Linked DNA regions of Yarrowia lipolytica. The protein of the gene in region 4 interacts with the protein of the main gene of each other region in a pairwise test. Links are inferred from orthologs where the notes say so. Each region holds a gene or a part of one and is shown on either strand. Other genes may lie near its edges. The genes, in order: YALI1_B09708g, YALI1_B11607g, YALI1_A18286g and YALI1_F20820g.

The links.
Region 1: the proteins of YALI1_F20820g (region 4) and YALI1_B09708g interact in binary tests that used the Schizosaccharomyces pombe proteins (3 or more experiments, as listed by UniProt). The link is inferred for Yarrowia lipolytica from reciprocal best matches to the Schizosaccharomyces pombe genes rad51 and rad54.
Region 2: the proteins of YALI1_F20820g (region 4) and YALI1_B11607g interact in a two-hybrid assay, tested with the Schizosaccharomyces pombe proteins (2 studies listed by BioGRID). The link is inferred for Yarrowia lipolytica from reciprocal best matches to the Schizosaccharomyces pombe genes rad51 and pat1.
Region 3: the proteins of YALI1_F20820g (region 4) and YALI1_A18286g interact in a two-hybrid assay, tested with the Schizosaccharomyces pombe proteins (2 studies listed by BioGRID). The link is inferred for Yarrowia lipolytica from reciprocal best matches to the Schizosaccharomyces pombe genes rad51 and mex67.

The regions. Positions count from the first base shown.
Region 1 is NC_090771.1:966,750-973,391, reverse strand, and holds YALI1_B09708g (uncharacterized protein), read left to right. Parts: upstream 1-2,493; coding exon 2,494-4,917; downstream 4,918-6,642. Other genes in the region: YALI1_B09807g (uncharacterized protein), read left to right, coding at 1-201. UniProt on the Schizosaccharomyces pombe protein: Plays an essential role in homologous recombination (HR) which is a major pathway for repairing DNA double-strand breaks (DSBs), single-stranded DNA (ssDNA) gaps, and stalled or collapsed replication forks.
Region 2 is NC_090771.1:1,157,859-1,163,462, forward strand, and holds YALI1_B11607g (uncharacterized protein), read left to right. Parts: upstream 1-2,891; coding exon 2,892-4,214; downstream 4,215-5,604. Other genes in the region: YALI1_B11577g (uncharacterized protein), read right to left, coding at 1-14; YALI1_B11588g (uncharacterized protein), read right to left, coding at 856-1,035, 1,093-1,227; YALI1_B11593g (uncharacterized protein), read right to left, coding at 1,270-1,465, 1,530-1,537; YALI1_B11625g (uncharacterized protein), read left to right, coding at 4,687-5,307. UniProt on the Schizosaccharomyces pombe protein: This protein is a negative regulator of both sexual conjugation and meiosis. It phosphorylates mei2. It blocks the onset of meiosis until conjugation takes place.
Region 3 is NC_090770.1:1,825,920-1,831,952, forward strand, and holds YALI1_A18286g (uncharacterized protein), read left to right. Parts: upstream 1-2,672; coding exon 2,673-4,343; downstream 4,344-6,033. Other genes in the region: YALI1_A18273g (uncharacterized protein), read right to left, coding at 1-1,376; YALI1_A18315g (uncharacterized protein), read right to left, coding at 5,081-5,629. UniProt on the Schizosaccharomyces pombe protein: Involved in the export of mRNA from the nucleus to the cytoplasm.
Region 4 is NC_090775.1:2,079,649-2,084,957, forward strand, and holds YALI1_F20820g (uncharacterized protein), read right to left. Parts: upstream 2,415-5,309; coding exon 1,425-2,414; downstream 1-1,424. Other genes in the region: YALI1_F20831g (uncharacterized protein), read left to right, coding at 3,500-3,610, 3,664-3,774. UniProt on the Schizosaccharomyces pombe protein: Required both for recombination and for the repair of DNA damage caused by X-rays. Binds to single and double-stranded DNA, in the presence of magnesium, and exhibits DNA-dependent ATPase activity.

The DNA.
Region 1 (6,642 bases), on a different chromosome or scaffold from region 4:
GTGTGCAAGGTGTTTTCGATTCCTGACATTTCCGAGCAGGTGGCGCGAGGACGCGAGACGTTGGAGGCGGGCCTCCGGGAGGCCGAGCTGGATTGCGTCACGGCATGTGCGGAGTTCAATCCCAAGGACAAGGATTACCGCACTTTCCGTCACGTGGCGGCAAAGAGCGTCAAATCGCTGCAACCCCACAAGTATTATTGATGGAATTGTATTTTTATGGTAGCTGAGCTGGACGTAGCGTGTGTGGATGTAGGTGATAGACTGGGGTTAGTATATGAACTCGAATGACGATATGTGTCGTGAGAGGAGTCGTGGTGGTTATCATGAGTGCATACTCACTGTGATGGAGGGGGAATTGAGGTTGTCGATGAAACGAAGTGTCATTTTATAGTCAATATGGTGGAGCTACGGAGAGGCTGATTGTTGACAGCCACAAATGGCGCGACAGATAGACAGAACCATTTCGGTGGCACAATGCAACACCACACCACCCACAGTCTTGCGGCTCGTGATGACTAATACAGCTTCGCATGGTACACGTCGACTCCGCCAGTGCGGTTCTCCCTTCCACATCGACACTTGAGTCAGAGTCCGTACAGAGCCCTCGTCGTGGTATCCTGCTTCCGTTTTGTGTAAAATGCAAAGTGTAGCCGGCACGGTCGTGATCCGGGTGTGCGGTGCGCCGCGTGTGTCCACCTGTTTGTGGTGTAGGTTTATCTGTGTGTTAGTGGTCGTGTATTGTGTTTTTTTCTTCTGTTTTCTTTGATTTTGGTGGTTTGTGTAAGAGAAGAAGAAGGTGGCACAAAATCAAGTCATTCTTCAAGTAGCTACAGTACTTGCAGTTAGATGTTGCTGCATGATACGTACATGCTTGTACATTTAACGTGCTCGCAGATGCAACACACATGCACGACTTTGGCATTTCGGATGTAGACAACGGGGTGCTTGTCAAGATGTGAGGAGGAACGCTGTCGAGGGAAACGCTGTCGAGGAAAACGCTGTCGAGGAAAACGCTGTCGAGGAAAACAATGTCTTGGGTTATGCTGAGCGTCCGTCAGATGTCTGCTCAAGACCTTTCCTCAGTCAACAGACCTCTCAGTGTGCAACCATCATCTACGACAGATCATTATGAGAAGATCATATCTTATATCAAACAGTTTGAACCAAGATAAATAGACCATGCTATAAAGGATTCGCTGAACAGTCAAAAGGGGATATTAATAAGTATATTCATCATTCCGTCACTTGTTTAAGTACGAGTACCGCATATCCGTAACAGTCTCAGATACAAGTGCGTCATTGAGTCGTTATATTTCACTATTTCAACTCCGTAAACCTGATTCTGCTTGTCTCAATTGGCCAAGAAACTTCGCCGTTTGCTTCTTCCTATCGTCCCATCTTCCTATACCCAGACTAGATGACTTTCCCTTGCCAGACCCCAAACAGAGACGTGATTGTCTACTGACTGCTTGGACATTTTCCAGTTGAAAAACAAGTAGGATACGGTTCCTACTTGTAGGATTCTATGTTTTGATGAAAGAAACATAGGATACGGGTCCTACTCGTAGAATTCTATGTTTTGATGTACTCAACCAGAATCACCCTTTTTATTCATTGGTTTCTGCCTATCTACAAGACAACTGAATACGGGAGATTAGTTGAGGAAATCCGCTAGAATGCGTTGTAGATATAAATGAATCCAAATAGAATGTTGACTCACTGTACTACAATGCTCAGGTTTGAATTATTCCATCTCTCCAAGGTGCTAGATTTACTTAGATATAGTTAAGGATAGTTTAGGGGTCATGTAATGTCGTTCTAATATCAACCTCATTTACTTAGAATTAGTTGGTGAGTGTGGCAAAGGTGGAATATCAATTAACATGGCAAACTGCACCACAAATCATGTTGTATACATCGGAGAGGAAATCTGAGAGGAATCGGAAAAGTTCAAAATACTTCTCATAACTGGATGACGTTTTACACACAAATCTGTGACAATTTTCTGTTCCAAATGAGGCTCAATTTCAGTTCAGTGCCCATACGTACATACAGACACAACTGTACGTTCTGATGGAATGAAAATGAGGACGATGGAGGCAAGATACCAAGAATTTTGTATGGAATAACCTGTTTTGAGCCCGTTGGAGAAGTCATTGACTCTTTTATATTTCTAATGTGACCGATATTGGTGTTTTTGGAGCGTTTTTGTAAGGTGTTTTGCTTGGGTTTAGGGGTCACGGTTTCGTGCCGTTTAAAAACTACTATTTGACGACTTACGTAAATCCTTGTACAACCAAGTTTTGTTGAATCACGTTCACAGTCCGTTTTCATCGCTAACATCACAGTAATCACGCAAAATCGCGTCCGTCGCGTCCGTCGCGTCCCCCGCGTCCCACGCGTCTGTTAATTTACCCAAACCTTGCGCGTCAAATATGTATCCTGATCCACACAACACTCTCTACTTCTCCACCGTTGCCACCCAACTACAAAATGAGACGAAACAAGGCTCCCAGTCAGATTCGCGAGCACGGATTGCCGGCAGAACGCCCCAGGGACCCCATGGATGTATTACATAAGCCGTTCAAGCGCCCGGCGCCGTCGTCTGGCTCCAGCTACAACTCCAACTGGCAGCCGTCCAGACGCGCCAGAACGGCCGTCAACTACACGGAAGGCGATCCGGATGCGCCAGTGTACCGATCTGACGACCCCGAGAAACGTGGCGGAGGTGCTGTCGTTCGCCGTGATCCATTGGCGGTCCTGAACCAAAACTTCCGAGTGCCGTTCAAAAACCGAAATGACGACTTTGTGGAATCTTTTCCGGCGCTGGGGATGCGCAAACCGGTGGATTTTGTGCCCCGACCGCTGCACGACCCCGCGGGAGAGTTTGCTATTGTTCTGTACGACCCTACCGTCGACGGAGTAAAAGATGCCGTCACCGAAGAGGATATCCAGACCGCCACCGAAATGACCCTGTCGCAGTCGGAGACAGATGTGGAGACGGTGGAGGAGATGAGAACAATACCCAAGAAACTCACGCTCGCAGAAATCCTCGGAATCTCCCCCAGAGATAAACAAAAGCCCAAAGAGTATCCGGAAGTGCCAGTTGTAATTGATCCCAAGCTCGCCAAAATCCTCAGACCACACCAGGTCGAAGGAGTCAAATTTCTGTACCGCGCCACCACCGGCCTCATCAACCCCAAGGCCCATGGGTGCATCATGGCTGACGAAATGGGTCTGGGCAAGACTCTTCAGTGCATTGCGCTGTTGTGGACGTTGCTGAAACAGAGTCCCCAGGGCAAGGGCACGATTTCCAAGGCCATTGTAGTTTGCCCCAGTTCTCTGGTGCGAAACTGGGCCGCCGAGTTTGTCAAGTGGCTCGGGGAGGGAGTCGTTGTTCCTTATGCCGTGGATGGGTCTCAGAAACCGGCTGAGTTGACGGCTGGTCTGAGACAGTGGGCCGAGGCTGAGGGCCGCAAAGTCACACGACCGGTGCTCATCATCTCATATGATACACTACGACGCCAGGTGGGTGCCATTGCCGACTCTGAGGTGGGTCTTTTACTTGCTGACGAGGGTCATAAACTGAAAAATGGCGATTCTCAGACATTTACCGCGCTCAATCAGCTCAATGTGAAGCGTCGAGTCATTCTCTCAGGTACTCCGATCCAGAACGATCTTTTGGAGTACTTTTCGCTGCTGAACTTTTCCAATCCTGGCCTGCTAGGCACCAAAGGCGAGTTTCGAAAGAACTACGAGATTCCCATTCTCAAGGGCAGAGATGCCGATGGTACGGATAAAGATGTGGAGAAGGCCGAGGCGAAACTGCTGGAAATGGCCTCTATTGTCTCTCCTCTTATCATCAGACGTACCAACGACATTCTGAGCAAGTATCTGCCAGTCAAATACGAACATGTTGTCTTCTGCAATCTCGCACCGTTCCAAAAGTCGCTCTATGTGCAATTTCGAACGTCCAAGGAGGCCAGATCTTTGTTGAAGGGTGAAAAGAGCAGTGAAGGAACCACCACTTTGAATGCCATTGGTATCCTCAAAAAGCTGTGCAATCATCCAGATCTGCTGAAGCTGCCGGACGAAATTGAGGGATGCAGAAAGGTGTTTCCAGACGATTATGCGCCGCCAGACGAACGAGGGTCGCGTGATCGCGACATTTATCCGCATTTCTCCGCCAAGTTTCTCATTCTCGAGCGGATGTTGCGGTCAATCAATGCTGAAACCAACGACAAGATTGTCATCATTTCAAATTACACGGCCACTCTCGATTTGATTGAAAAAATGTGTCGTCAGAGACGGTATGGGTGTCTTCGTCTTGATGGAACCATGAACATCAACAAACGAGCCAAGTTGGTGACTCAATTCAACGACCCCGAGGGCCAAGAGTTCATTTTCCTGCTCTCTTCCAAGGCCGGAGGTTGCGGTTTGAATCTAATTGGAGCTAACCGTCTGATTTTGATGGATCCAGATTGGAACCCTGCCGCAGATCAGCAGGCTCTCGCTCGAGTATGGAGAGATGGCCAGAAGAAGGACTGTTTCGTCTACCGTCTGATTGCTACTGGCACGATTGAGGAGAAGATTTTCCAGCGGCAGTCCATGAAGCAGTCCCTGTCGACCTGTGTGGTTGACGAGGTGCAGGACGTGGAGCGGCACTATTCCATGTCCAACTTGCGGGAGCTGTTTTCGTACGATGACGCCACCCCTTGCAACACCCACGATATGTATGAGTGTAAACGATGCCGTGGAGGGAAGCAGTACCAGAGGGCTCCTGCCATGCTGTATGGAGACGCCACCACGTGGAACCATTACTACAAGGGAACCATGGGGAAGATTGAGGATCTGTTGCTGCGGCAGGAGGAGGAGTTTGACGAGGTGAGTTTTGTGTTCCAATACATTTCTCACTAGCGTGCGCGAAGGAGATGGGCACGAGTTACTGGCGCGAGTGAGAGAAACGTGCGCGAGCGTGGGTTCGCGAATGTGAATTCGAGGTTGTTCGAAGCACGAGCATGTTACCGTGCACGTCCTGGGAGACATGGACAAGCTGTAGTAGTTGAGTCGTCAAGGCTCTCCTATGACAAGAAGAATATCACACCTCAACAATAGTACTGTTTTTGAAGGAGGGGGTGAGGATGGTGGGTCTGTTGGTACGTAAATACTCGTGAAGTATTGCAACCGGTACTGTAACCAGGGAGAACTGAAGCATATCATATATATTAGAATAGATACCGTTATGAATAATCATTGTGAAGTGTTTCAAGTCGCTGGGTACGAACAATCTCTCTACAAAGCTCTAGTGTGGTTCTCGTGAAGCGTGGTCTCTATATCACTATTTATCACCAGAGATGTTTCGGATTCTGATTCTGTATCCAACTCCATCAATATTGCTCAGACCATGTTGATCTCTTCTCAAATCGACTTAGTAAGCGTCATCAAGTTAGTAAATCAAGTTAGTAAAATCAATCGGTTGGTTTTGCAATGTCGATATCCTCCCCAACTGGTGATCCGATGTAGATACCCAGAGCACGGAACAAAACGCCACTAGTTCAGTCAATATATATCTGATCAAAGAGATTCTTTCATAAAAAGATATTTAACCTGCTTTAGTCATCATTTCTTGAGTGATAGCGGTTCTGTCGCCAGTAATGAGGACTAATATATACCATACGGTACATTTCAGTACTGTCGTATACCGATGTTCAAATGAGATTAGTTTGAACCTCTTCAAGTCAGCACATGACAGATTCGAAGATACTCAAGGAAATTGATCATAAGTACCCAGCTCCACGGATCATTCCTTCCAAGTTCCTCCCCAACTCTCCCGCAATCGTCCACAATTTCACACTCCCTGTTCGCCAGAAATGTATACAAAAGAAGGAATATCCAAGTTATTGGAAACATTGAAACGGTGTTGTGTTCCTTGCGACTCTTATAAAATGTCTGTCGTATATCTTTTCAACTTCTCTTCAGATTCAACAGAATATTTGCCGTTATCTTAGTAACATAAACGCATTGATACCAACCAGACGGAGAGAGAGACGACAGACGAAAACAAAAAAGAGAACTCGGGGTTCTGCCATCACCCAGAATCGAACTGAGGTTTCCACGGTCTTGTTGTGATGACACAATCTCCACAACGTGGTGTACTAACCACTATACTATGATGGCTGTAGACGTCAGAGGGTGAGATAGTATATAAGAGGGTGAAAGAGAGATTCTTCACCAGAAAAACTTACAAAAAAATATTCATATCTGATGAGATGTTCCGTTATTTATTCATTCCCCACTTTATGTATCCTCACAGCTCCCCTTTGCGTTCGGACATTGGCATTTACTATATGAACTCTGGCAGATAATAAACCAGAGCTAAATGGTTGAAAAACAGCCCGATTTTGAAATTTAATTATTAAAATAACACTCGCCAGTCATTTACATCTTTCTACAAACTCCTCCATTTCAACTGAACAAATAATCGTCATTCTAGACACATTTTCTATAGTTTTCCGTCAATGTTCATTAACGTGCACAACTTTTACAAATCACGTGATTTCAAAAGATATATTTCCACAATTATAATATGAAACTAATCATTGTGAGGTTTTCAACTCTCCATTTATCCATCGTTTCTCAATC
Region 2 (5,604 bases), on a different chromosome or scaffold from region 4:
TCTGTCAGTGTCATTCGAATAGTCTCCGCCAAATAGGCAGGGTCTGTTGTGCTACAGAACTTGTAGGTGTTACTTTGTCCGCGAGAGACATTCAAGGGTGGTTAGCGCGACGTGGACAGGCGCGCTAAGCTGCGATAGTGTGTTGGGTGCTTTGCCGGACCATCACCGCGCCTCCCAGCTGCTGGTTGATCGCCAATATGGCTTGTAACTTCTTCAAAGGTGGAGTGCATGCAGGACTGAAATTAATTGGAAAATACGGCGGAAAATACTCCAGAAAAATACGCTGGCGGGCCAGAAAAACGATCCCTTGCTTGAACGGGCAATAATATCGACAATACGCGTCGAAAATCGACTGATTACTCTTCCCCTTCTGTCTCATGACCTGTTTTCCGGATTTTATGGCTCCACTGTGACGTCACCGCTTGCACTGGCACGTCGGTACATACAATGACCCCCCAGATTGCACCAAGCAAACGACTTTATTCTACACCATAGACCCTGGAACCCCCGCCAACGCCCCGTGACGGCTGGGTCATGTGGCATGTGCTAGTTCCATCTCTGTCACCTTGGGCTGGCCCGCTTCGCGGGGATGCATGGATCAGCGGTCGCATCTACATGGGCCGTGGTCGCAAAAAGAAACGACTTGAGCCAGGTGGAGGATGAAAAGAGGGTACGACGAGAGTTTGAATGAGGGTTAGTGGACCATGGCTGTCTCTTGGCTGTTTTTTGTGGCAGGCATCATGGGCTGGCTGATTATATAAGATCGTCGTGCTGTCTGATAACACCGCCGGGCAGTTGTCTAATTACAGTAATTAGGTGCATGGCACACGATCCACAGTTGATGATTAGGAGCTACTACATTGTAGTGGCCACGATCATAGCCCACCATCTATAGATGGCACTATTACTCCTTTTGGAAGGTGGATGATGGGTAGACGTTGAGCTGTCGATAAATGACTCGTCGCAAAAGATCAGCTTGTAATAGCAGGTTGTAGGACAATTGCCACGCAACGGCAACAACCCAATACGCCTTATCTAGCACGCCTGAAGCCTGCATTCAAGCCGTTCAGTGCTTTAGCTAGAGTACGATACTGAAGGTTGCACTGGGCCTCCCAAGTTGGGGCTGCAAACCGTAGTTACAGTACATACAATAGATGTAATGGATTCCACCTCTATTATAGTGATAGGATTGAGACAGGGCATGTCGTCAAGAACACAATGTGACATTAACAAGGCGCCGGTCACACCCAAACGGCCAACGGCCTACTATCACATGTTTGTTGAGCACTGTTGAGCGTCTCCCCGCTCCTCCCCCGCTCTACGCAAGTAGCGTGCAAGTGCAAGCGCAAGCACAAGTATATGCATCTCGCGGACGTGTGATAAAGTGACTGAATGACCGAAGCTTTGTGTGTCATGTGTCTGTCGAGTCTGTGACAGGCAGGTAGGGCTGAAGGAGATGACGTGCCTAAGGGCTGTGATTCGCCCGAGCGAGCAGCTGCATTCTGGGTCTCGTATCCGCTGGGAGAAACGCTCGCATTCCGACGCCGCCGATGAGCTCTACAGACTCACATTCTCAAGCTCAAACGCTCGGGGGAACACTCAAAAGTGAGACCTTGATCCAGTGACTGAGACTGTATGTAGGTGAGAAGAGAGACTGCGGGACTGATGGGCGTGTGTACGGTGCCAGTTAGGTTGGGCACTTTAAAGTAGGTTTGCCAAATTAGGCTCTCTCAATTTTTCGGTTTCCCGCTTTTTCTTTTCCCTCTGGCCCGTAACCCCCTTTAATTACATGTGCATTTTAGGGGGCTTGTCGCTGCACTCTCCCAGATAATATTATTACGGAATGCGAAAATCGCATGATGTTGGATAAGTGAGCATCGGGAAGCAGCAAATCTCCAGTTGGCGGACGACCTGTACGAGCCGTCGTGTACCAGCTCAGGTACAGTTCTTTGCGGTGGCGTTGTTTGGGCATATATACATATATACAGTGTGCTTTCAGGTACCTGGGTGAGGCACACGAGAGGGGCTAATGGCTTATAGTGTGGCAAAATGTCAGATTCAAGACCGACTATCAACGTGGATGTGCATGGCTCAAAACCCTCGTTACGGCACATTTCCCCCGGGGTAAAGAGACCGCCAAAACACGATGCAGCCACAAGGCGAATCTCGCTGCGCGGGATACGTGCTCCAGGCCGTCCCGGTGCATTGTTTTGGTCCTTGTGGTGCTGGGTGTTTGCCTATTTTTGCCCATATTCGTCTCTTTTTGCGTATTTTGGTATTTTGTACATTCACCGGTGAAATATTTTTTATTTTTTTCTTACTCGAGCCTCAGGGAGCCGATATTATTTGGCCATGACGATCTGCAGAGTGCTGCCGTCAGTGTTAAATTGACGGTGGGAGATTGGCAAAAAAGGAAAAAGACAAGCGGGCGAACAAAAGGCCCTGAAATTGCCAAAAAAAAAAAAAAAATTGAGCCAAAAAAAAAAAAAGGGGGAGAAGGCCCGTCGATACGCACAAGGAAATGACAATATCAACGGGGGGAGGGCTCTTGTACATAGACGAGAGACCGACAAAAAACGGCAGGAAACAGGCGGAATCAATTCGGGGACACTCGAACCCCCTTGGTGATCTCCCGTGGTCCCGTTTCCCCGGGCCCCTAGCCCTTCCACACCCGGCCTAAAGGTCTAGCGTGCTGCTCAAGACCGGTTTCACATCCCAACGGTCGTCTCTCCATGTACCATGCACTCTGGTCCACTGTACACGGGGAATCTGAGTTAGACTTCTCGCTTTTTTGAAAGGCCCTTGTCATACCCCCTAGACTTAGCGCCGATTAGCGTTTTCGGGTGCAAGACCCATGGGGGGCGACTACCACCTTCTTTTTGGTCATATATATGGAGACGACCGGTCGGAAGAGTGCGTGCAACAGATACCTCGACCCGAATCGACACAGACCCTCTCTCAGCATGCACAAACTCAACGCCCGACTCGGAAACCTCCGGCTGGAAGAGGTGATCGGAACTGGAGCCTATGGCACCGTCTACAGAGCCACTGACATTTACTCGAGCAAACGATACGCAGTCAAGGTGGTTGGCAAGCGCTCGCAACTGAACGACTGCCGCGGCCAGGTCATCAACGCCCACAAGCTGTCTCTCCAACAGGTTTCTCTGGCGGCCCTCAACCACAACGCATCCCACATCTACCGAGAAATCGCCCTCCATAACCATGTCCAGGTCCACCCCTACATTCTGTCGCTGTACGCCGTCTACGAGGCCAGCGACTGTCTCTACATTGTTCTGGAGCACTGCGAGGACGACCTCTTCACCGCTATTGTCGACCGGGGCATGTTCCAGACCTACGCCCCCAGTGCCAAGATCATCCTGCTCCAACTGCTCGAGGCCGTCCTCTACACCCACAACAAGGGCGTCTTCCACTGCGATCTTAAGCCAGAAAATATTCTCGTGGCCGAGGGAGGCACTTGCATTCGGCTGGCAGACTTTGGCCTGGCCTCACGATCCGGACAACAGGTGTCCCAGTGCGGTTCGTCCTTCTACATGTCTCCCGAGCGACAGACCAAGCGCCACAGCTCCTTGTCCGTGCAGCAGATCAATGCCGGAAACGCTGCCGCCGATATCTGGAGCCTGGGAGTTATTGCCATCAATCTCTTTTGTGGCAGAAACCCCTGGAAACGGGCCCACGTCTCGGACGAGGCCTACCGCCAGTACCTCAAGGACCCGTCGTTCCTGCAGCAGATCCTGCCTGTTAGCGATGAGTTTGCCGGCATTCTCAACCGCATCTTCACCGCCGATGTCAAGTCGAGAATCAGCCTCACCCAGCTCCGAGAACAGATCAAGAACTGCGACATGTTTGTACTTGGACAGGACACTGAGGAGAGGCCTGCAACCTCTGCCATTCCTACATACACCAAGGCGCCTATTCCTCCCACGTCTCCCGTGTCTCTGCTCCCTGCTCCTTCTCTCAAATCAAACCTGTCACCTCTCAGTCACACCTCCAGTGTATCGCCTCTCAGCCACACGTCGTCCATCTTCTCGACGCCCTACACTCCCGACGTATCCCCAACGGCCGTGTCGGATCGAGGCGTCAAGCGTCGACGCAGCGAGGAGAACGAGCCGTTCCACTTTTCGCTCAACCATACCAGCGACGTGGACCGGTTCGACTTTGGCATGAGCGACCCCCGAGCCCGACTGTTCGCCTAAACCAACGGACCAACTAATTGCATATCCCCCCACCCAAAATGCTCTACTAACAAATCAGCTAATGTACATATTTATAGATAATGATAATGACTAACCGTATGAACGAGGCAGTAGCGGACGATATCTGTACTTGAACGATAGTAGGAGTCCATCTCGGCTCATGGCTTGCTACTCTTTACGAGCCGTTAGCTCCATCGATCGGTGGAATAGTGGGCCTCGTCCAACAAGAGACTTCCACACCTTGTCGTATCGTATTAAGGAGACCGATATATGCCGATCTTATCGAACAAGAACCGGTACGTACATACTGTACAGCAGTACAAGCACTCTAGAGTCTCGGATCCTGGTCAAAATAAAGAGACACACGGTGAGAAATTAATTCCCGAATATCCCGGAATACGCAATACGACCACAATCGACGACTCTGGCAATATTAAATCGTCTTTAGGACTCATTCCGAACGCCGTATCGCATGTCCCAAGATGGGATATACTCGGAACCGTACGGGAGACTCTACTCGTGGTTGGCCAAAGTCATTTCTCGTCTACCTTTGGCTAGTGGGAAAAATTTGCAACTCCGGGGAGACGAGGGTGTGCGATGGAGTGGAGGGGTATCAAACGGCTCTCTTATTGGTGTCTTGGGTCGTCTCTGTCTTGTTCGGTACGTGATGCGCTATGATCATACCGGTAGGGCCGGTAGGGTACGCACAGTACTCGTACTGTTACCGAAGACCGTTATTCATGCATTGTGCAAGTATCAATCTCGAGTACAAGCACGTTTTTCCCAACAATGCTACGCTCTTCCCTCCTATCCACCTACTTGTACCTCCTCCCTGTCCATCGTCCATCTCCCTCCTCATGTCATGCCTCCATCTCCCGCACGCCGAGACGTGAGTCGCGCCGACTCTGAAACATGTCCCGTAGCTCGTCGTATGGATGCCCATCCATATGTTCCACATGGCCCTGTTACAAGTCATGGTGGCACGCTGTACGGATCCCATGATGTCACAGCTTCACATGTCCACGCTGTAAGCTCGCCAATCCCCCGCTTCTCTTCGGGGTGTGAAAAAAGTGGCCTGTTGCCGGGGAAATAATCTAAACGAGAAGGATGCAACCACAGTGAGACAAGTGAGACAAATGAGTGTCAGTGGCCGGTCCCGAGAGTTAGACTTGAGACATGAACGGTGCAAACGTAGTCAGCGTCCCCGAGGTGGCATCTGACAGGGGTAGCCCGGTCTCTGTGCTCCAAACAAACACAATCACACTTAGGCAGGGACACTGAGACAGCTGTATAGTGGGCGGCTGTCGTGTAGCGGGACCGGAGCTGTCTTGTATCAGATTCACGAGCTACTTGTTTCACGTTCACCCCAGACCAGAGACATGGCAGCTAC
Region 3 (6,033 bases), on a different chromosome or scaffold from region 4:
TCAGATTTGTCGACGCCCAGAATCTCCTTGAATTGGGCATCCTTGAAGCCCAGGATGGAGCCGGTACCGTAGCCCTTGGCATTCTTGGTCACCTGCTCGTAGTCCACGTGAGGGAGCTGCAGCATCTCTCCAAGAGGAAGATGGTCGAGAGAAACGGCCTGAACCATGGCTCGCTGAACCTCAATAATTCGCTGAACCACCTCCAGAGGCTTGAACTCGATGGCAATGTCGGCAAAGCCATCCAGCAGCTTGGGGGCCAAAGCAGCCACGCCCAGCATAGCGGCGGGCTTGGAAGAAGCCTTTCTGTGGAGGTAGTCGTCTAGAAGCTCGTAGACCTGCTTGCTGGTGAGCTCGGGGAAGTTGATTCGGTACTCCTCGGCCTCGGACACGGCCTCCAGGATTCGCTTGTGAGTGATGTAGTCTGGCTGCTCCTTGGCCATGATGGAGAAGAACCGGGCTGCGGTCTTGTTGTGGATTCCACGACGAGTGTAGGACTTGACTCCGGTCCACCACTTGCCAATGGTGTAGGGGAGGATGACTCCCACGACAATGGCGTAGACACCAATGAGCAAGGGAGAGCCCTGGCCCTCCACGAGCCACTTGGGCAGAGCAATACCGTGGTCGGTCTGCTGGGGGCCGTCAGGATGGCCAAACTCCAGAAAGTTGTTTCGGGTGACTTCGTCTGTCAGCGCCTTGTAGGCCTTTGTGATCTGGACCCACGCGTCCTCCACCTGCTCCATGGTCTGGTTAGCCACCAGCTTGATCTTGTCGGGATGCAGCTTGACCGACAGCTTTTTGTAGTGGCTCTTGATTTGCTTCTCTGTGGCCGAGAAGGACACGCCCAGAATCTCGTACGGATCAAACGTGTCGGCCTTGACCTTGACCTCCTGTTGTGAAATGAACACCAGCGCTCCAATCAGAGCCGCCCACCCCGCAACCAGAGCCACGTTGCGCTTGGACAGCAGCTTTCCGCGCCGTTGCTTGCTCTGGAACGAGTCAATGTCCGCCGCATGGGGGGGACGGAATGGTGTCACGCCCTCGGGAAGAGTCGCCTGGGTCTTGGGGGGACACAGAACCGGATAGACGGCACTGAGAGTCCAGGGGACTAGCACCAGTGAGCCCAACGTGACCGCAAAGTATGGCCACACGTCCGACTCTTCGTCATAAGAGTACGAAGGCATTTTTGAGTCTGTGTTGTGGAAAGAACCAAAGATGTGTGATGTACAGTCTGTAGATGACAACTGTGGTTGGGAGTGTGACGTGTAGTTAAAGTAAGGTTTGGCAAAGTAGATACAGTAGGTGGAGGAGGAGTAGAAATGGCGAACAGACTGGAGTAATTTTATGGGAATAGGCGGTGTTGTTGTTTTTTTGGTCATGTGTATTGTCACGTGACTTGATTTCACGTGACTGTTTGTTTCTGAGGCTCCCTCCTTCCCCCTTATACTGTGGTCAATCGCACACTACTTTTCAAGGGTAAGGGTTGCATTGTAGATCAAGAACAGGGTGGAATAAAAATATAAAATATAAAAAAGTGTGAATTTATATAGTTCAGTTTATTATTCATTGTAGCTCAGATGGACATGGAGCTGGGGACAGAAGGCGAAAACACGAGTTCCTGAGAATCAATTGTGACATGACCGGGTCTGGGAAGTCGTGTGACCAAATGTATAACACATTACGGCCGCACTTGTAGACCAGGTGCCCCACATCTCCACGCCGTTCCGTCCTCCTCGTCCTCCTCTTCTTCATCCTGCTTGCAATGGCGGCGCGCGCGTATGTATGTATGTACTGTACTGTACTGTACTGTACTTGTAGATGGGCAAGTTTTTGCTGTCTGAAGAAAAGACGAGAGCAGGACGAATTTGCGAGTCATGCAGCGGGGATGGAATACGACGAAACAGTCCTAACCTGTGTTTTTGACGTAGGAATCACATCTCATAAGGTGTTTTTCCAGCGTGATTGATTGACTTTTCCGAGGAGGTTTGAATTTGGATTAGTACGAGTATGTGAGTGTGTATAGGGAGAGTGATGGAGACCTGGAGAGCGAACTTTTCCAGGGTTATATGGTATCTTATTGTTTGAAATGGCCAACTTATTCTCCTTATGAGTTTTTTATTGGAACCGGATCAACTTTGACGGAGTTTGTCCAGTCTTGATAGTGGGTGTATAGTACAGTGTGAACCCTACAACTGTATGTAGGTTTGTACTGTATTTACATTTACTATGGTTGACGTATGGCTATATAATGAAGTCTTCGAGTTATACCACCCATTTGGTATTCTCTTCAATTAATTCAGAGCAGGACATTTATCAGCTCGTCGCGTTATCAGCCATATTTCAACTTGCATTCTTTTCTTTTTTCACGCTTTTTTCTCGCTTTTTTCTCGCTTTTTTCTCGCTTTTTTCTCTCTCGACTTTTTTGTTTTTCTTTTTATTTATTTTTATTTATTTTTCTTTTTCTGGTTAACCCTGACAATATTTCAACTACGAGTTTAAATCTAGTGGAGACTGAAACTGAAACTGATCTTTTACTTGGGGAAATGTTTGTTTTTGGGCGTGAAAATTGATACCCTTGATATTCAAGCGTCAAATAGCTGAATTATTATCCCTCTTTTGACTCTAGACACGTCCCACTGCTTCTACAAGGACATTTGGCGCAGGTCTCGATTCTCATGCACAAGCAAAAACTACACTTTTTTAAATTGGCGTGCATTTTCATTTTCGTTTCACCAGTACCACCACAAACAATGAGTTATCGAGGACGCGGACGAGGCCGAGGCGGCTACAACAATAGCGGCGGCCGCGACAACAACAACAACAGCAACAACAGCAATCTGACGGACATTGAGGTCCGAGGGTGGACGAACGCGCCTAAGGACGATCTTGTACGGTTTCTCCAGGACAAGGGCGGGTTCCGGTTGCAGAACCCGTACGTGGATGGCGACGTGATCAAGGCCCGAGTCAAAAACACGGACGCCCGTGCGATTGGACAATGGTCCGGGCGCCGGTTTGCAGGCCAGGCTCTGCAAATCACAGTCAAAGATGGACCCTCGGCTGCTGCGCAGTCCACGATCGAAACGCTCAAACGGTTCCTTGAAAGCAGATACAGCGCCGAGGACAAGCTGCTGAACCTTGCAGGCATGGGCCAGGACCAGTATCTGATTGAGAATGGCCTTTTGGCCACCACTGAGCGAGGATCAAAGATGTTTCTGGCGCTGCTCAAGATTGCAGGCGACACCTACCCCGTGGTGGACTCGGTGGATCTGGGCCACAACAGCATCAGCGACATTGCCGGCATCACGACGCTGTCTCAGACGTATCCGGAGCTTAAGAATCTGTCGCTAGCCAACAACCAGATTGCCCGCATCACCGACCTCGAGTCGTGGAGACACAAGTTCAAGTCGCTGCGAGAATTGGTCCTTGTGGGCAACCCCATCACCAACCAACCCGACTACCAGCAGCAGGTGGCGCAGCTGTTCCCCAGGCTCATTGTTCTGGACAGCCATGTGATTCGAGACGAGTCGCAGATTGGAAAAGTCAAGTACCCCATCCCTCTACGGCAAACGTTTTTTGAAAATGACAACATCCAGCAAATGGTCGGCGGCTTTCTCGCCAACTACTTCCAGCTCTACGACACAGACCGACAGCAGCTGTTGCAGCTGTACGACCCACAATCGACTTTCTCGGTCGCCATCTGCTCAAACACACCCCGAACAATGGTCAAGGGTCTCGGTCAGCCTCCCTGGGGCCAATACATTCCGCTGTCACGAAACATGACCAAGGTGACCACAGCCTCGGCTCGAACCAACCGACTCTATGTGGGTCCTGAACAGATTGGAAGAGCCTTTACTCGCCTGCCTAAGACGAAACACGATCTCGGAGACCCCTCAAAGTTTGCCATTGACGCATGGACTCTCAATGGTGTGCGAGAGCCGCAAGACACAGCCATTTTTGCGTCTGTGCACGGCGAGTACGAGGAAAACATTATTGGCAACAAGAGCGACACCCGGTCGTTCGACAGAACGTTTGTGCTTCTCCCTGGCCCCAACGGAAGTATGATCATCGCCTCCGATACTCTCATGGTCAGATCCTACGCCGGAAAAGACGGATGGACCAGTGCAGCCATGACTGGAGCAACTGGTGGAGCTCCTGGGGACGACTTTGCCGGTCTCAACCCCGATCAGGCTCTCATTGTCAGACAGCTCATGGAAGCCACCCGTCTAAATGCAAGGTACGCGCGAATGTGTGCTGAGCAGGCCGGATTTGTTCCGGAACAGACCATGGCATTGTTCAAACAGGCCCAGGAGGGAGGCTCGTTGCCCCCAGATGCGTTTATGTCTTAACCGGGGCCCAACCGTACAGGAGACAGGAGGCATTCGTGTGTGCATTATGAGACAGCAAACAGAGTACCGTATGTATTACCGCATACACTACGCTCTCACAAGCATGTAGTTAATTTGAAATGAATGAGCATATCCTGCCAAACATGTAAAAGTAATTTATTGATCAATTGAAACAATCTTTGGTGTGAACATGTGTGAGTAGTTGTAGATAGGCAAGTGAAGCGATCCTAGACACATTTTTATGTGGTCACGTGACCTAATTTGGATTCTGGATCAAGGATTATCTCTACAAGTACTGTACTTGTAGTATGTTTCATTTGGCTCCGTTGTACTCGATTAGTTCAACTTTTTGTATAGAAAGTTGTAAATATATATACACCAAAATGATGCTTGTGCTGAGAGCCACACAATTGTGTATCTATATTTCCATTCTGAGCAATTTTCTTTCGTCTACTTGTAGATGATTTGTGACCCTGGTCTTACAGTGTTCAAGGGTCACAATCTACAATCCGTATATTAGAATAAATACACACTTTGGTGTGTTATAAATATTGTATGAGAGAGTTTCATGGGAGGAGCAGGTACTCATACTCGTACTGTGGATACTCTGGATAGGTGCTTACATCTCCTCGTATCATGTGCGTACAGAAGGGGTTCCAATGCCTGGCAAGTTCTGCTCAGCTTCTGCTAGCCAGCTTCTGTTCAACCAGCCAGCTTCCGCTCACTTTTTTTGTTCGCTAACACCCTTCCCTAACCAACTTTCTCAACAGATTCACCTCCAACTCAATCTCTCTTCTAATCTCCGCATTCTCCACCTGCATGGCATCCACCTGCTGATTCCTCTCGAAATATCCTGGTTGCAAATCTCGATGCAAATTGATATTTCGAACCGTCTTTTCCCATGCCAGTTGCCGCACCACATCCAGACAAGATCCCAGGCCTTTTCTGTACTCCGACACAAGCTGTAATGTCTCTGAGTTGGTTTTTGTCTGCTGAGCCACCTGGGTCCTCAAAAACGCGTTTTTCGACAGCTGTGAGTCGAGCAAGGCGTCCGAGTCGCCGGTCGACGGCAAATACTCGTCGCTGTCGCTGTCATTGGTCGCTTCAACCTCCTCCATGACATCTGAAAGCGTGTACTTGTCGGCCTGTCGAATCAACTTCTCCACCACCTCTTCGTTGTCCTTGAGCGCAATCTGAAGCTGACTAAGCATGGTGTGCAGCTGCATCAGGTCCTCAGTTTGCGGCAGGTAAAGCTGCGTCATTTGTTGTTCTTGTATGCCGTTCATGTTTGTTGTGTGTGAATGTGTGGAGGTGACAGAAGTGGCATGTTGGAGATGCGACTGGTGAAGGTAATTTTGAGTTACTATTGTATTAGTGAGCTGAATTTAATGGGTTCGTAGAAACTGCTGTAGGGGTGATAAAACGATCAAAACTGGCAATGAATCTCCTTGTGTCGTTTTATATCCGTCTGCAACATTTGGGCTGATTCTGGGTCCAGAAACACGAATTTCTAGACACCTTTGCGCTCCTATATATAGAACATCACCTCCCGCAAATAGAGTTGGTCTCCAATATGGCTATATTGCAATGTGGATTGCACGAAAGTATTGTACAGCATCTCACCGGTTCCGTACTCGGTTTGTTGCAGCAGGACTCAGTTAGGCCAGTTAGGCCAGTTGGAGCCCAGTTG
Region 4 (5,309 bases):
GAAAACCGTCCTTAGCCGAGTCAACTGGACGTTGGTTTCAGCTCATGGCATGGTTTGGAAGCAGCCAAAAAAAGGAATTATACCATGAGAAAAAGTAATTGCGAGTCGAATGCGGCGATTGGAATCGTCTCAGATAGTATGAACACGGGTACAGTACGTAATGTATGATAGTCTGAATCTGTGGTGGGTAAGGTGCGGAACTTCTCAGAGACAATCCGTTCATAAGATCTGAATGACAATATAAGTTGTGGAATCGAAAGAGTAATATGCAATTGAGACTGTCGTAGCTAACTGATATATAACATCATCATTGTCATTGTCCATACTGCACAGCTGGCTATGTACAAGTACATACACACAGTGTACTGTTGCATCTTCTACTGGGCTATTAATGACCATATGACCATACGGATATGGTAGATTGTAGTTCAAAAATAGTTTTCAGTTGTACTTAGTAACCATATATTGTCAAATTCCGAGTAATTCACCATTAATCACTGGGGATAGCCGTTCTTCAAGACAGTACCAAACGTCGCTGTGATTTGGTCTAGACCTTCACAATCTCGGTATCTTAAAAAATTCAAATTGCACTTGATATTAAATCCATTGCTATCTACAATGTACAATTCCCCTATGATCAAAACTGGAGCGGTTTTTTCATATATAACATTACAGTGTTTTTTTTAACTTGTAATTTTTTTTTTACTTGTTTTTTTTAACTTGTATTTTTTTTTTTACTTGTTTTTTTTTTATTTTTTTTTTGTTCTAGGGAATACTCTACAACTTCTCGAGGCCTATAAACAATGGTATACCAGCACATCGGTTTCAGATTCAACTGTTCTGAAGAGCACATGACCCTCGTGTTCGCTTGTCCACCTGTTCTTCCAGTTCCATATCGAAATACGGCGTTTTTTTCGGTGTGATGCTCCAAATTCGAGATCAAATACCGGTGTCCTACCCGGGACACATCGAGGGCGTCTGGTGTAGTTGGTTATCACATGCGCTTAGCATGCGCGAGGTCCCCGGTTCGATTCCGGTGTCGTCCATTCTTTTTTGCTTCTCTCGTGATATATTGTTTCTCTACTGGTTCCTGGGCTGTCTTCACCCTGGCGTTATGATCTGCTGACTCAGCGGTCGACTCTCGTTTAGTTTAGGCTGTGTGATGTAGTAGTCCTTATTGCGACGAATTTTGCAGTGTTGAGATAATATTTTCCATAATATCAAATAATTGGAGATCAAAGATCCCTTCTTCCTTTCCATGAACTCTTACCGAGTTGGTTGTAAGCACGATGTTCGCAGAGACCATTCCCGTCGACTCAGGTAATCAAAATGGGACCATGATGTGGTCGAGATGCTCGCTACAGTCTCGAAATGATTAAATAAAATGGGTCTCACTATTTACTGCAACCATTGCTTTCCCTCGCCTACTCCTCATCCTTGGGGTCTCCGATTCCATCCTCATGAATAGCAAAGACACACTCGCTTTCTGGCAGACAGGGCGAGTCGTAGATCTTGCAGATTCGCTGCACTCCTCGGCCCTTCTTGAAGTAGAGCCGGGTGGTGGACGCATGAGCCACAATGTTTCCTCCAATGGGCTTCTTGGGGTCCGGGTTGAACACAGCTCCATCCACCTGGGCAACCACCTGGTTGGTGATCACCACTGCGATGCCAAACTCATCGGCAAGGCGTTGCAGGGTTCGCATGAACTTGGCCACGTGGGTCTGACGGGCAGACAGCTCTCCTCGTCCTGCGTAATCTGTTCGGTAGAGCGCCATGATGGAGTCGACAATGAGACACGAGAACCGCGACTTGGTCATCATGTTGGCCGCCATTTGCAGCAGCTGCATCTGATGGTCCGAGTTGTGGGCTCGGGCGTATGCCACGTTGTCCAGCACCTCGTCTCCGTTGAGTCCGTATCGCCGGGCAATCTGGTGCAGACGTTCGGGACGGAAAGTGCCCTCTGTGTCAATGTACAGACACTTCCCCTCGCCTCCTCCCTGATCGATGGGAAGCTGACAGGTGACGGCCAGAGTGTGGCACAGCTGCGATTTTCCCGTTCGGAACTCACCAAACATCTCTGTGATGGCTCCGGTCTCGATACCGCCTCCCAGTAGAGTATCCAGTTGCGACGAGCCTGTGGTTAGTGTGATGAGTCCAGAACGGGTCTGGTGCACGTCTGAGGCGGTGGTGAATCCCAAGGGCACCAGTTTGGACGCCTCTGATAGCAGCTTGTCGGCCTTGGCCTCACTGATGCCCTTGATGGTCAGCAGGTGTTTTTTGGGCGTGTACGCCACACTCTCCACTGTGTAGAGTCCAAACTCGCCCAGGCGGTTGATATCCGTCTGGGTGATTCCGTTGACGGCCAGGCGCTCGATGGGGATGGCGCCCGCTCGTTCGATTTCTTCGTCGGCCATTTGAGGGTGTGTTTTGCGAATGTCGCGGCAAGATCCCCAAAAAAAAAAAAAGACGTGTTGTGTCTTGACTAGAAAGGAAGTCTAATTTACTGAAAGTGGTGGCGCGTGCGTTTTCGTGTTGCAAAGTATATTGGGTGGCGTCAAAACAGAGCATTCGGACGGCATCCAAAAACGTCAAATAACGGGATAGAAAAAGCTGACTAATCACATAGCTGCCAGTAGGGGTATCCTGAGTCTCCTTGAAGCGGATTTCCGCCCATCCCCACCTTTAGAGGCTTACAATCGAGTCTGGCCCGTGGAGAACCGCGGTTTACGTCGTCGTTATTAAGCTGTACGTCGACGTGCACATTTTATGCATGGGGTGGATCAGGCACCGCTGAACCGAGAATTACGTTTCTCACGCTGAGATTCCCTGAAGGAGATCATCTCCCACAATGTCATATCTACGACGGAGACGATATCCGCGACAGGGGAATCATGCGACGAGGCTTCCTATACCACTGATTCGGAACCGCGAGGGGCTGGAAAGAGGGTGAGAGAATATAAGAATCTTACTGGCAGACGACACATTCCCAGCGACAGGAGACGCTCTCGGAAACGTCCGTACTCGGTTCACGAAATGGACGAATGGTTCCCCGAAGCTGCCTGCTAAATCAACATTCCTGGTGCTCGCAATGCCGCAGGCGACAAGGAAGTTTTAAGACACCTCAATAAAACAGGTTATCACGCCCAAGCCCTTATGAGAATGAGCAAAACGCTTGACGATATCAAGGGCTGCAGTTTTCCATACCTCGATTACATGATCAGGACCAAGAGTTTTTCTGAAGTGGTCAGCAATGCCCAACTTGATAAACCCTTCGCAAAACGGATTGGTTGTGTGTGTATGGACCGAATCTTGGAAGTTCAGCACGGTTACAGGTCCATCTATAAAATGACAGGAGAGATGCCATTGGATTTTTGGTTTACCAGGGTACTACAAGACTCTCAGTTCGGGCTCATCCAGTTCAAGACTCACTCGAAGATACGGAGGCTGTGTTGAAATCTTGGGCTACGTTTGGAATGCCTTGTGATATTCCAATTCTACAATGCTGATAATACTTGGTGATACTGAACTTCGACAATGTCAACTGGGTGGTAGTCACTGGGTGGTAGTCAAATCAACTGGGTGGTATGGTCATCTGGGCGAAAAGCAGCCTGTGACTGCAAAAAGGGTGGACCAACATATACGGTAATGATGTGAGGTATTCAGACGGATCCAACAAGGTCACACCGACAATTTATGGCAATAGGCATTGTCCTAGGTGGTCTTCATCGTTCCATCACTCCCCCACAACGAGAATGCTCCTCGGGGTCCTGCTGAACGTGTGAGGCAGAAGTCAAGAAGGAGTGCAGGGAGCAGTCATAGAGGGTTCTGGAGCTTCAGGCTGAGCTCAATGAGCTTGACAAGCTTAGATATCAGCCCCACAAGGCCGCCCCGAGTGGTTCGACAATGAAGCAGGATAGTTACAGGTACACAAAGGACTAAATTCCAGATCCAAGGCAGAGCAAGTGTACCCGGCTGCAAGGATAAATGGTAAGCTGGAGAAACTAAAGTATGCCAGGCTCAGTGAGTGTAGATCAGAGCGTCCCATCCAGAGTGAGGTTGTTGAGCCTTCTGGGGGTCGGCGTACTTTGTTCAGCAGCGAGCTTCTTGTTCCATTGAGCAACAAGGGGGCAGGGCAGAAACTGTGAGGGTGCTAGAATCCTCACTTGCTGAACAGGAGTTTGCCATTGCTGAAATCAAATATGAGAGACTGTCATCCATCAGAAAACCCACCTGGTATCCTCAGCCAACTTCTCGATCCTCAAAGTGTCGAGATTCTGCAGAGCGAATTGAAGCGGCAGACAATTATTCTGATCTCGATAAATCTCAGAAAGAGCTAGCAGCCAACCGGAGCAAGCTGAAATCCTGCGAGATCGATCATGCAGGGATTGACGAGCTAAGGGCTCAGGGAGGTCACCAAGATGCCATTGGAGCGAATGCGACTGTTTGCATTTGATCATTTGGATACCCCGAGCCTCATGGGTCCGGATCGCACCATGAAGTTCCGATACTATCAGCAGAGTAGTGATTGGATGGAGCTCGCACCACCGCAATGGGGTTTCTCATGATGGACTTCACAAAAGATTTCCTCCACCAACAGAGCTGCCATTCTGATAAACAATGTTCAGTTTCACCATTGAGTCTGGTTTTTGCTGGTCGAACCCTGGCTTGAATGTGAAAGATCTAATGACATTGTTCTTGACTCCGAACTCACGCAGCCTCAGCACGAGTTTTCCAGCCTGACACCATTGGTTACATTGCCCAAGTTCAATTGCCTGTTCAAATCATGTCACGATATGCCTGCCGATGTGATTGCCAACTACTTCGGGCACCAGTTCGTCAAACCGACCGCAAACATCCAAAGACGGAAGGGTCAGGTTCCCCCTCTAGGTGTCAATCCTGTGCAACAGAACCTGCAAGCAAACGAAGGATACAGCCGGGGCATGTTCTGGGCTGCCATTGAGGTTCCAGTCGTGTATGATGATGGTGAGCCCCTTCGTTATGGTAGACGCTATACCGTGAGGGTAGGAGGTTTCGATCGTCTACTTCTCCCCGTAGAACCAAAGACACAGAGCGTAAACTGAGTCCAAGAGACGACAGCGACCAGTTGTGAGCGCAGCGCAAGGCACCGCATATAACTACTACTAAACGAAAACGCGTTGATAACAGCGTGGTAGAGCTCAATGCTGATCCAGAGGATGAAAGATCTGTTGACCTTCAACCTCAGTCCCAGCTGCTGCGAGATCCAATAGATGTTGCTGAGATCCTGTCGAAAGTACACTGACGTCGAGGTGCCGTGCTCTTGTCGGCGA